3 linked regions of the Rattus norvegicus genome follow. Each later gene encodes a partner of the first gene's protein in a complex. Links are inferred from orthologs where the notes say so. Each region holds a gene or a part of one and is shown in the gene's direction. Other genes may lie near its edges.

Region 1 (3,500 bases):
GTGCTCCAGGCTGGTTTCGCGTAAGCTCACAGGAAGCGCTCGCTAACTGCTTCCGGAGAGGGTTTTCTCAGACAGTGAACAACGTGGAGACCGGCGTCTCAGGAGCTTGGGTTTGGCCGTTTGCGGCGTCCATGTGCCCTGCGCTTTCAGTGAAACCGGAAAAGGTGTGTGAGACCCCTGTTTGTTCCTTCTGCGGTTTCCTCTTGACTTTCCGTGCTCTTGGGTTCTGAGACCATTAGTTACTAGGACTGCTAACTTGGTTACCGTGGCAACCACCACCACGCCAACCTCCACCAAGCCAGTTTGAATCTTTGAGGGCCAAGGAAAGATTTGCTTTAAGTCTCCTTACCGTATGCGGTGCGTCGATTTCTAATTCAGGTGTTATTTCAAGCTTTTTTCGCGGAATGGTTTTTTAAAAGCTTAAGCTGATTTTAAGGCTGAGAAACAAAATTTGAGGCTGACCAAGTCTTGGGAGATGGCTCAGCAGTTAATGGTGACTACTGTCAAGCCGGGTGAGTTCGATCCTCGGATCTAACTGGTAGAAGGACCCCTCTAATTTAGTCTCTGACCTCCACGTGTGCGCGGTGCCTTCCCCTAACAATAAAAGTGTAATGTTGAGAGAGAGAGAGAGAGAGAGAGAGAGACAGACAGACAGACAGACAGACACAGACAGAGAGAGACACGATATCTTTTGTGAGCAGGCTCCAGGTTCGATCTCCAGCACCGCGGAAAACAAAACAAAACAAAAAAAGCTGAGGCTGTACAGAACTAGGATAACGTAGGATTGCAGAAAGGAGGGACATTGGTGGAATTTGTAGTAACAGAAGCTTCAGTATTTGATAGATACGCAGGACAAGGGTCTTGAGCATTTTGACAGCTAAACCCAAGCCCAGTGGCATATGGCTGCTTTTGTAGAGTCATTTCTTTGCCGTGGCCCCCCTGCCCACCCCCTTGCGTTTTTCATACCGGCTAGTCTGCGTGTACTCTGCATTTCCCAGATTCTTGTCTTCACCTTTTCCCAGTCCTAACGTGGAAGGAAATAAGGTTGCTGCTGTGGTTAAGTTAGATAACGCACGGGCTAGTTATGTGGTTAAGTTCCGATAAATCCTAGCTACTGCTATTACTGCACTTGCCCTGTTGCATGCATTCTTCAGTTTGTTTCTGTGGCTTGAGCTTTTTACTTTGTAATTAAGGATGTGTCGTTTTTGTATGCACTTGATACATAGCTGTATGGTAAGGTATCCTTTTTTAAAATGGGTTTTAAAAATGATTTTTATTTTATCTTCTGTGTGTGAGCGTTTGCCTCGTATCTGCACACTACTCTATGACTCTTGAGGAGGTTGTTGGTTGCCCTGGAAGTGGGGTTCCAGAAAGCTCTGAACTGGTATATGGGTGCTGGGAACCCAACCCAGGTCCTCTTGAGAAACAGCAAGTGTTCTTGACTGGAACTTTAGTGTCAGCTGTTTCTGACATAGATTCAATGCATACTTAAAAAAGCAAGACACCTGACAGGTACAATGAGTTACTACTCAAATGACACTTATTAGACGAAAAGTCTAGCTTTCTGTACAGTTCAGCTGCCTGTGGATTAGCACCCTGAAACTAACTGACACTCTCAGTTTGGAATAGATGATGAGTGACTTCAGTGAAGAACTGACAAAGCTTGCTGGGGCTGAGGATAACCCAGAAACGTCAGAGTTCTCTAAGACAAGAATGCATTTCCCATGGCTTCAGAAGCATATAGAAGCAGTGGGTAAGTAACAACATTGAAACCTTTCACTTTACCGCCATGAAGTGCCAGGGGTGAACACAGGCGCAGAAGGAATACCCAAGCCAGTTCCTTCTTCTCTTTATTCCCCTTTTCATCTTATTTTATTATTTTATCTTAATTTGTTGTTGTTGAAACAGGGTCTTGCTCTTTGTCTCTGGTTTGCCTTGGACTCACTTATGTAGTTCAGGCTGGTTTAGAACTCATGGTTGGTCTCTTGCCTCAGCCTCAAAGCACTGGGATTACAAGTGTGAACCTTGATGTCTGTTTATCTTTTGAGATCAGATGGGAGGCTTTTCCTTTTCTTTCATACAGCTGTCAACAAAAAGAAAATTATAAGTGATGAGGATGATGATGATGACAATGATGATTAGGATGAGGAGGATGATGACGATGATGAGGATGAGGATGATGATGATGATGACGACAACAATGATGATGAGGATGAGGATGAGGATGATGACGATGACGATGATGACGACGACGACGATGATGATGATGATGAGAGTGTAGTCTTCCATTAGGCCAATAAAGGCTATTTATTTGAGCAGACATTTTGCCAGTTTCTGGGCTGGTTGCCTGGGATCGTTGGTGGTCTGAGCAGCTTGTGGAGCTCTGGTTAATTACAGAGTCTGCTTCAGGGAGCCAGCTGAAGCGAAGTGGTCTTCATTTCTAATTAGCTTTCAGGTAATTCCAGTCCTGCTGGGAGCACGTGAGCAAGGCTGAGTGAGGATCCCGGGGGGGTTAGAGTTTGCTTTAAATGGTCCAGGAAGTACCCAGTCTGTGCTGCAGACTCCTTCCCGCCCACAGCCCCATCAAGTCAGGATGACCAGCCCTGACAAGCCTGGAACCTGCTACCCTGACCAGATTGGCCTCAGATCTGCAGCTGTCCTCCTGCTTTCGTCTTGTGATTGCTGGAGTGACAGATGAGTCACCATGCCCAGATGAGGGGTGTAGTCTTCATCATGGTTCCCTTTACATGTCCCCTGTGCAGAGTCTCACAGTACTCATCAAATCGTCTTGGCAGTTTTAAGGTGTTATATAAATTGTTAAGTTTAATAGTTGCAAATGATAAAATTGTCACCACATGATGGATTTTTAAAATGAAGTTGTTAGTTGTTTTTTTCTTCTTTTTTTCGGAGCTGGGAACCGAACCCAGGGCCTTGCGCTTGCTAGGCAAGCGCTCTACCACTGAGCTAAATCCCCAACCCCGAAGTTGTTAGTTTTAAAATAGATCCAGTAAAGTCTTAATCATATAGAAATGTAGCATATTCTGTTACCACTTTTCAAAAATTGAGAAAAAGATTTTTAATAGATGGAAGCTTTTATTGATTGATTGATTAATAATTAATTTGGTTTTTCAAGGCAAGATTTCTTCTTGTAGCCCTGGCTGTCCTGGAACTCACTTTGTAGAGGAGGCTGGCCTTAAACTCACCTGCTTCTGTCTCCTGAGCACTGAGATCAAAGGCCTGCGCCTCTACTCTCAGCTAGATAGAAGGTTTAGAGTAAACCTTTTTGAGTAAGTGTATATCACTGCATATATACTTTTAATATCTTGTACATTGTAAGTATTAAAGTTTGTTTTGAGATGGGACATGACCGTAACTCAGTTCTCCAGCCATGATGGGATTACAGGTGTTGTACACCACATAGTTTGACTGTTCTATAATTTTATTTCTCTGGAAGAAAGACTTAACATCAATTCTATTATGTCTGTTTCAATTTCTCTAAG
Region 2 (3,962 bases), on another chromosome or scaffold:
TTATTACACAGAAGAGGAAACAACATTTACTCAAGGCGTTCAGTTACTAATTGGCAGAAACAGATTTCAAAAGCAGATTCAAGCCAGGCATGGTGGTGCACAAGTTCAGTTCCAGCACTGGAGGCAGAGGCAGGGGCAGAGGGGTGCAGAGGTAAGAGGTTCTCTGTGAGTTTAAGGCCAGCCTGGCTTATGTATCAGGTTCTTGGACACACAGAAGAGAGACGTGTCAAACAACAGCAGAATGCACTCTATCCCAAGCTGATTCAGCGGTGAAGAAACAGCCCCTCAGCTGACCAAGGGAGAGTTCAGATAGATCCTGCAGCACCTATGATATGAGAACTGACCATGCTTCAGCTTCATTTTCCTCCTACACCGGATGTCTTCTCTCCTCCAAGTATGCCACACACAGTAGGTAGTTTATTAGCTAATTATTAAGTATTTATGATATACCAGGCTTTTATGATATACTAAACTAGCAGGGTTCAAGCACAAAGGCTGGCTCTACAGCTTTGCAAATAGTACAGTCAGCCGCATAGGATCCTATATTCATAAAGATCTAACCACACACACAGGCTTTTGTTTGCTTTTTTGTTTTGTTTTGTTTTTCTCGGTGGTGCCATGCACACTAGGCAAGGTCTCTATAATCCAGTTTTATCTCTAGGCCAACGACTTTACATTAGAAATGCGTTTGTCTGTGAGAACTTATGGGACAGTGAAGTATGAGCATGTACGCCCTCTCATCAGACCTTGTCACCCACTGAATAAGGTGTTTGTAATCTTCCGTTAGAACTTAAGTCCACAGAGTGTCCGTGTTGCAGGATCCTACAGACTGTTGGCAAACTGTACAAGGAACGAAAAGTAGAAGTGAGGCAAGTGAGTACAAAGCTACACTACACAAATACATAGCACAGGCTACCCTTAGTCTGACAGTGAACTCTGCGTGCTCACCACAAGTCGATGCTCACCTGACCCGCAGTGTCTTGGAGGAATGCCTTGCTTGCACTCAGGAGCACAGGTTCACTCTCCTGCTTCTATTTTCTGATAGCTTCAGGCCAAGGGAAGAGCCGGGTACCGCCCCTCCCGGAGGCCCGCCCATCACAGAGTCCGCACGCATAACCACGCCCACGGACGTGCCCTCACGCGAGATTTCATCCTAGTCCTAGTCAGGCTGCTGGGCGCGAGAGCGCTCTTTTCGGCGCGGCGAAAGAGGTAAACGGTTGTTCGTCTGGGGTGCTCCGGTCTACGGCGGCCGACCGGGCGGGGTCGCCGGGACCGCGGGGACCATGGGGGCCGCAGGGCGGGCTCCTTAGGCGGCTGTCCGCCCGGAAACGGCGCTCTCGTAGGCCTAGGAGCAGCGGAGCGGGCCAGGCTCCGGCCTTCCGCAGACCGCGCGAGGCTCGGAGTCGCTGTTGGGAGAGGCCGAGGTGTTCTGGGCCTGGAAGGCGTTTTTAGTGTCTTTAAGCGGTCGTGTGCTGCCTGCCCACATATCTTACGTGCTTAAGTAAGGGTCTTGTCAGCCGGCCCACGGCACAGGTTGGACTCAGCTCACCACGTGGCCTCCAAAGCTTGCAGTCGCGAATTTGAAAGGAGCATTCAGGTAGGAGTGGTTCCTAGATAGGGTTCTACAGTGATTATCTTCGGATCTATCCACAGGTGTATAGTGGGTGCAAAAAGGCCAACCTGAAATTTCAGTTTTGATGGGTTAATTTAAAAAGGCAGTTCATGCAGTGGGTATTTTGCAATCTAAGGACATAATCACCTGTTTTTCTTAGCCTTGAAAACTGTGATTAGTTTAGTTCTAGGATTTGTGTAGCCTAAGTTAACTTTTGAAGTTTTTTTCTCCTTAGCACAAGTGGCCCTCTTACCTACTTCTTACTTTTACACACGTGCATGCAGTGCTCACAGCCCACAAGAGGGATATCGACTCTCTTAGGAATGGTTACAGCTATTTTTAAGCTGCCATGTGGGTGCTGCGAGTCTAATCTTAAGACCATTGAAGAGCTCTTAGTCCATTGGCAGTACTCTTAACTACTAGGCCATCTTTCCAACCCTAATCTAAAGGTTCTTGTACACGCTGTTAGTATCCCAACTACCCGAACTGATGCTTATTTTAGTGTCTAGTGGGCAGCCCAGATTGGAATTAGAAATGCTATATTACTATGTGAGGCTATGTGGTGGTTAAAGCAAAGTGGGCAGATTTTTAGAGAGAAAACAAACTACATTGGAATGTGGTTTGCTTCCACATTCTGTGGAATGTATGCTATGTGTGTGAGTACTCTGGAAGGCAAAGTGCCGTAGCCTCATGGAGCTGGAGTGAACTGCTTACAATCGTAAGCAACCCGTTGTGGGAACTGAAATCTGGAAAAGCAGAGGAGCTCTGCTTAGCTCACTTAAGGGCTTCAAAAGTAGATCTGAAATGTAGGATCCATAGGGATTTTTACAGAAACTGACATAGTGGTAAGGAGTGTGTTGAACTTTCTATTAGAATGCTGTGTATGTGAAGGGGCATCATTGAAATTTGTAATTGCAGAAAACTGGGTAAAGCAAAGTGATGGCTCAATCAGAGGTGGATTCTGTTGACTGTGTGACATCGGATAGAGATGGGGACATTGGAAATCAAAGGTAGGTAAACTATAGATTCAGTCCAAATGTTCAATTTATTTTGAGGAGGGTCTCAATAAATAGAGCCATGGCTGACCTCACCCAGATAATCCTGCCTATCTACCTCCCAAGAGTTGGGATTAAAGGCATGTCACCACACCCTGCAGTCCAGCATATTTGAGTGCTGGGGAGTTTTATTTGTATTGCTTGTCCATAAAACATGGAAAAGCTGAAGATTAACATATTATTAGCTTGACTAATCGTTAAAAAAACTGTCTTGTGGGGCTGGAGAGACGGCTCAGCGGTTAAGAGCACTGACTGCTCTTCCAGAGGTCCTGAGTTCAATTCCCAGCAACCACATGGTGGCTCACAACCATCTGTAATGGGATCTGATGCCCTCTTCTGGTGTGTCTGAAGACAGCTACAGTGTGTTCATATGCATAAAATAAATAAATCTTTTTAAAAAACTGTCTTGTTTTATATAAAATAGTAAGGACACGGTGGTTAACTGGTACTGAGTTCATTCTGAAATGCTGGGTATGATTTTAGGGGATTGTACTTGGAACATGTACTTTTAACATGTTTTTTAGAGTGGATTGCGTGTCTATTCTGGTGCTCTTAGGTGTGGGAGCTGTGAAACTGAAGGGATGCATGATTGTGAGCTGCCTGGGAGAATGGCCTTGCCACTCCTGGGGGATTAATTATATCTAGTGGTAATTCAGTAATGCAATTTAACTTTTGTTTTAGTGATGACTCATCCAATAGCAGCTTATTTAAAACACAGTGTGTTCCTTCACCTACAAGAAAGCAAAGAATCCCTACTGTGAAATGTGTTCCTTCACTTGCAAGTGTTGAAACAGATTCATCAAGTGACTCTTCTCTAGAACCAAGGCCTTTGACTTTAAAGGCTATTTTTGAAAGATTTAAGAAAAAGAAAAGGAAAAAGAGGAAAAAGAGAAAATATAAGCCAAAGTTAAGACGACAAGGAAGACCATCTGGAACGAGGAACATTAGAAGGTCACAAATAGATGCAAAACAAATTAAAGACAAAGGAGCTGTGTTTCCATTCTTAGAATCTGAAAGTGGAAGAAAGACTTTACCTTGGAAGAAAATTTTAACATATGAGGTGAGTGATTTTTTTTTTTAATGTAGGTGAATACATTAAGTAGGATGGAATGGTTTGTTGGTCATTCTTTTTTCTTTTAAAAGATTGATTATATATAAATACACTGTAGCTGTCTTCAGACACCAGAAGGCATAGGATCCCCATTTCAGATGGTTGTGAGCCACCATGTGGTTGCTGGAATTTGAACTCAGGACCTCTGGAAGAGCAGTCAGTGCTCTTAACCACTGAACCGTCT
Region 3 (4,030 bases), on another chromosome or scaffold:
TTTGATGTGTTTGGGTGTTTTGTATATATCTCTGTGTGTCCCTGCTGTGCTCACAGAGGTAAAAGAACCCCTGGGACTGGGGACTGCAGCCAGAGACAATTGTGAACCATCATGTAAATGCTGGGAATCCAACCAGGATCCTCTTTTGTTGTTTTGGAGACAAGCTCTTTTTTTTTTAATTGCCCTGGCTGTCCTAGAAGTCTAAACTAGCCTCAGATTCAGAGATCTGCCTTCCTGTCCCTCCTCTGCTGAGATTAAAGGTGGTGTGTACCACCATGCCCAGCTAAGGTGTGTACCACCATGCCCAGCCCCCAGCCTGGGTTTCCTTGGCCGTGGTAATATCCGTCTAACTCTCTCCTCTGTTTTTCACCACAGTCTCCATGTAGCCTAGGTCTGCCTCAGAACTGTGTAATACGTGTTTCGCACAGAGTAAGGTCTAAAATATGCGTCTAAAATAATGTACAGATCTTGTATTTTGTTCAGTCAAATCTCTCCACCGTGAAGACAATTTCTTTGATTTAAACAAATATGTACACGTGGGTTCTTGAATGTTCACAGAGGTCAATGCACAGTGTGTTTGCCAGAAAGGCAAGGTTGGCCGGTCAGCGAGTCCCAGAGATCCTTTTATCTCTACCTCTCCAGTGCTGGCATTACTATTACTATTATTATTATTATTATTATTATTATTATTATTATTATTATTATTATTATTATTATATCAGTACACTATAGCTGTCTTCAGACACACCAGAAGAGGGCATCAGATCTCATTACAGATGGTTGTGAGTCACCATGTAGTTGCCGGGGTTTGAACTCAGGACCTCTGGAAGAGCAGTCGGTGCCCTTAACCACTCACTGAGCCATTTATCCAGCCACCAAGTGCCAGCATTACTAACATCAAACTGTGCTTTTTACCTGGGTAACTCAGGCCCTAATATTTTACCCATTGGCTGCCTCCACTTCCAGTACCAGGGTTACATGCGCACACCACTATGGCAAGCTTCTTTCTGAAGGCGGTTCTGAGAAACCCGGCCACTGTTGGCCCCGCCTAGCTGTGCCCGCCTGTTCTTAGGGAAGCTTCAGACAGCTTAGGGCCAGGCGAAAGTCTACTTGCCTTCTAGCTGCGATCGTTCCGCTCGCTCACATGGGCCGCATTCGGCTCCCCCAGCGCGACTTCCGGGGCGGGCAGGCCGTGGCTTCCGGCGCAAGGCCCAGCGATCTCTCTGCCTAGGCCGAATGGCGGCCCCGCTGCTCCACACGCGCTTGTCGAGCGACGTGGCGGCTACGGGCTCTGCCACGCTGAGTGCGTCGCGGACTGGGTAAGATCTGGACGACCTCCGCCTGCGTGTGCGGGGCTCGAGCCGGCTGAGAGCGCTCGGGGTGTGACTAGGGCTCGGAGGGGTCCTGGCGTGCGGGCTTGGCCCAAGTGCGCAGGAGCCACTGGTCCTCTCTGCCCGGGCGAAGCTGCGTTAGCGAGTCTTGTCTGTTCCATTGTCTTCCACTCACTCTTGGGGGCACCCTTTTGGGACTATAGGCAAATCGTCCGCTCCTTTTTTCTTCCCTCTCTTGGCTAAGACGTGGACGGCATTTCCAGGGTTTTGTATATCCAGGGGAAAGCTGTCACTGGAGACCTATTGAATCGCCAAAATTTTGTTTGAAATTTGTTTCTGCAGAAGCGAGCAGTAGCATAGTGGAACCATATATTACCATATATTATCTAAGCAATCGGTTTTTTGGTTTTTTTGGTTTTTGGTTTTTTGTTTTTGCCTAACATTTAAAAATGCCTATTCCTATAAAACATTTGGAAGCTAATCTAAACAAAGTAAACCTTGTACAGAATAATAATAGTTGTTTATGAAGTATGTACATGCTGTGTTAAGAAGACACTGGGGACATTAGCTTATCCAGAGACTAATGTTCTCATACTCAACAGAACTGGAGGTGGGGAAGTGGGGGTGGGCAATAAACGGATAAGATAGTTTCAGGTATAGTTTCAGTAAATGCTGTGAAGAACTACAACTTTACAGCAGGATAAATAAAGGGTGAGTGTGAGAGGTTCTGGTGAAAAAGGCCTCTGACATTTGAGCTCCAGCCTTGTGTGTGTGTGTGTGTGTGTGTGTGTGTGTGTGTGTGTGTGTGTATGAAGGGTGTTTCTAACAGTGAGTAGCAAGTGGAATGGGAACCAGCTTGACAAGTTTGAGGAATAAAAAGGACATCATACTTTTAACAAACGATTGTATCATGACATCAGAGTTAGGAAAGGTGGATGGTTAAACAGGATCTTACAGGGTTAATATAGGAATACAGAGGTTTTTTTTTTTTAATTCTATTTTTTCCCTTCCCTTACTCTTAAAAAAAATAAAATAAAATTTGAGATCTCACTCTGTAGCCTAGGTCTGCCTCATCTTCCCAAATGTTGCTTTCTAAGTATTAGGAGTTTGAGTTTGAATTCTTATTGTAAGTGCTGCAAGAAGACAGTTTTAGTGAGTGAAGAGTGGATTCGTGGGGGAGAAGGTTGGAAGCAGGTATATATATCATTTAAGAAACTTAAACCTCATCACACAAAATGATGTTGGTTTAGTAATGCTTACTGTTGTCATTCTCTGTCATGAATTTAACAACTGGTATTCCTGGTTCTTCAGGCTTTCAAACATGCTTGCATTAGAGAGTGATTTCTTCAGTTCTCCCCCAAGAAAAACTGTTCGGTTTGGTGGAACTGTGACAGACGTCTTACTGAAGTACAAAAAGGTATGAGGAGATCTGGGCTTTACCTTGATAGGGTTTGGTTTAATGGGTGCTATACTGAAGAGCAAACTATCAAGACTTTGCATTCCTCCTGAGTACACCCCCAAAGCAAACAAACACAGCAGTAACAGAACAAGGTGAACTTTAGTGTTTATGTGTGCATTTATGATTTACGTTTCTCAGTGGTGGGCACTGGAACTAGAACCTTGTCCACACCAGGAAAACAGTTCTAGTTGAGCTCCGTCCTTAGGCTAAAGATAAATTTCACTCCGGGCTTGGTGGCTTGTGCCTTTAATCCTAGCATTTGAAGGCAGCAGGTGAATCCCTGAGTTTGAGACTAGCCTCTGTCTAAAACAGAGGTTCTCAACTTTCCTAATGCTTTGACCCTTTTAATACAGTTTCTCATGTTGCGGTGACCCCCAACCATAGAATTATTTTCTTTGCTACTTCATAACTGTAATTTTGCTATGGTTATGACTTATAATGTAAGTATCTGTGCTGTCTGATGGTCTTAGGCGACACCAGTGAAAGGGGTTCAGTCCCCAAAAGGGTAGACATCCACAGGTTGAGAACTGCTAGACTAAAAAGATGGAATGGAGGGAAATATTTAGTGAATATTTAGTGAAATAGAATATTTAGTGATGTGCATGATTCTGTAAGCTTAAAGGTAACCAAAACAAGTGTGGTGAGGTTTAAGACTTAAAATGCCGTATATATCTTGAAAACTAGCAAGTGCTAAAATTAAAGAAGTTAGAGTAACTGTTGTTCGTTTGTGTAGCCCTGTCTGATGTCTAACTCCAGTCTTCTTGCCTTAAGCTTGGAACTACACTTACTCTGATTAAATAGCTTTGTATTCTTTTGAGATGGCGTCTTCCTGTATAGCTCTGGCTGGCCCAGAACTGCTTTGTGGCCTGTGCTGGCCTTGAACTTATAGAGATCTAGCTGTCTTTGCCTTCTTACTGTGTAACCCCATGCCTGGCTCTACTAAACCATCCCCCTTCCCCCACCTTCTTTCTCTTCTCCAAGACAGGGATTCTCTGTGTAGTCCTGTCTGTTCTGGAATTCTCTTTTTAGGCCAGAGACCCGCCTGCCTCTGGCTCCCGAGTACTGGGATTAAAGGCATGGACACCATTGCCCGGTACCATTTTATCTCTTCAGGAGTTACCTAAGCTTTACTGTAGAAGAATACGTTAGCGATCTTTGGTTTTGTTAAGTGCTTCTTCTAGATGTTGTGTTTTATAATTTCCACATAGAGCAATACATTTAAATAGATGCTATCTAAATT

The links. The genes of interacting proteins can lie anywhere in the genome.
Region 2: Taf1a (region 1) and Taf1d share a complex: the UniProt entries of both Homo sapiens proteins name them as parts of the transcription factor SL1/TIF-IB complex. The link is inferred for Rattus norvegicus from reciprocal best matches to the Homo sapiens genes TAF1A and TAF1D.
Region 3: Taf1a (region 1) and Rrn3 share a complex: the UniProt entries of both Homo sapiens proteins name them as parts of the pol I pre-initiation complex. The link is inferred for Rattus norvegicus from reciprocal best matches to the Homo sapiens genes TAF1A and RRN3.

The regions. Positions count from the first base shown.
Region 1 is NC_086031.1:97,560,772-97,564,271, forward strand, and holds part of Taf1a (TATA box-binding protein-associated factor RNA polymerase I subunit A), read left to right. Parts: exon of another isoform or gene 1-131; coding exon of another isoform or gene 132-164; intron 165-170; exon of another isoform or gene 171-512; intron 513-1,615; exon of another isoform or gene 1,616-1,619; 5' UTR 1,620-1,629; coding exon 1,630-1,753; intron 1,754-2,083; exon of another isoform or gene 2,084-2,455; intron 2,456-3,500. UniProt on the Homo sapiens protein: Component of the transcription factor SL1/TIF-IB complex, which is involved in the assembly of the PIC (pre-initiation complex) during RNA polymerase I-dependent transcription.
Region 2 is NC_086026.1:20,426,814-20,430,775, forward strand, and holds the start of Taf1d (TATA box-binding protein-associated factor RNA polymerase I subunit D), read left to right. Parts: upstream 1-1,162; 5' UTR 1,163-1,209; exon of another isoform or gene 1,210-1,597; intron 1,598-2,530; 5' UTR 2,531-2,551; coding exon 2,552-2,622; intron 2,623-3,348; coding exon 3,349-3,727; intron 3,728-3,962. UniProt on the Homo sapiens protein: Component of the transcription factor SL1/TIF-IB complex, which is involved in the assembly of the PIC (preinitiation complex) during RNA polymerase I-dependent transcription.
Region 3 is NC_086028.1:2,669,496-2,673,525, reverse strand, and holds the start of Rrn3 (RNA polymerase I-specific transcription initiation factor RRN3), read left to right. Parts: upstream 1-1,230; 5' UTR 1,231-1,236; coding exon 1,237-1,319; intron 1,320-2,642; coding exon 2,643-2,748; intron 2,749-4,030. UniProt on the Homo sapiens protein: Required for efficient transcription initiation by RNA polymerase I (Pol I). Required for the formation of the competent pre-initiation complex (PIC).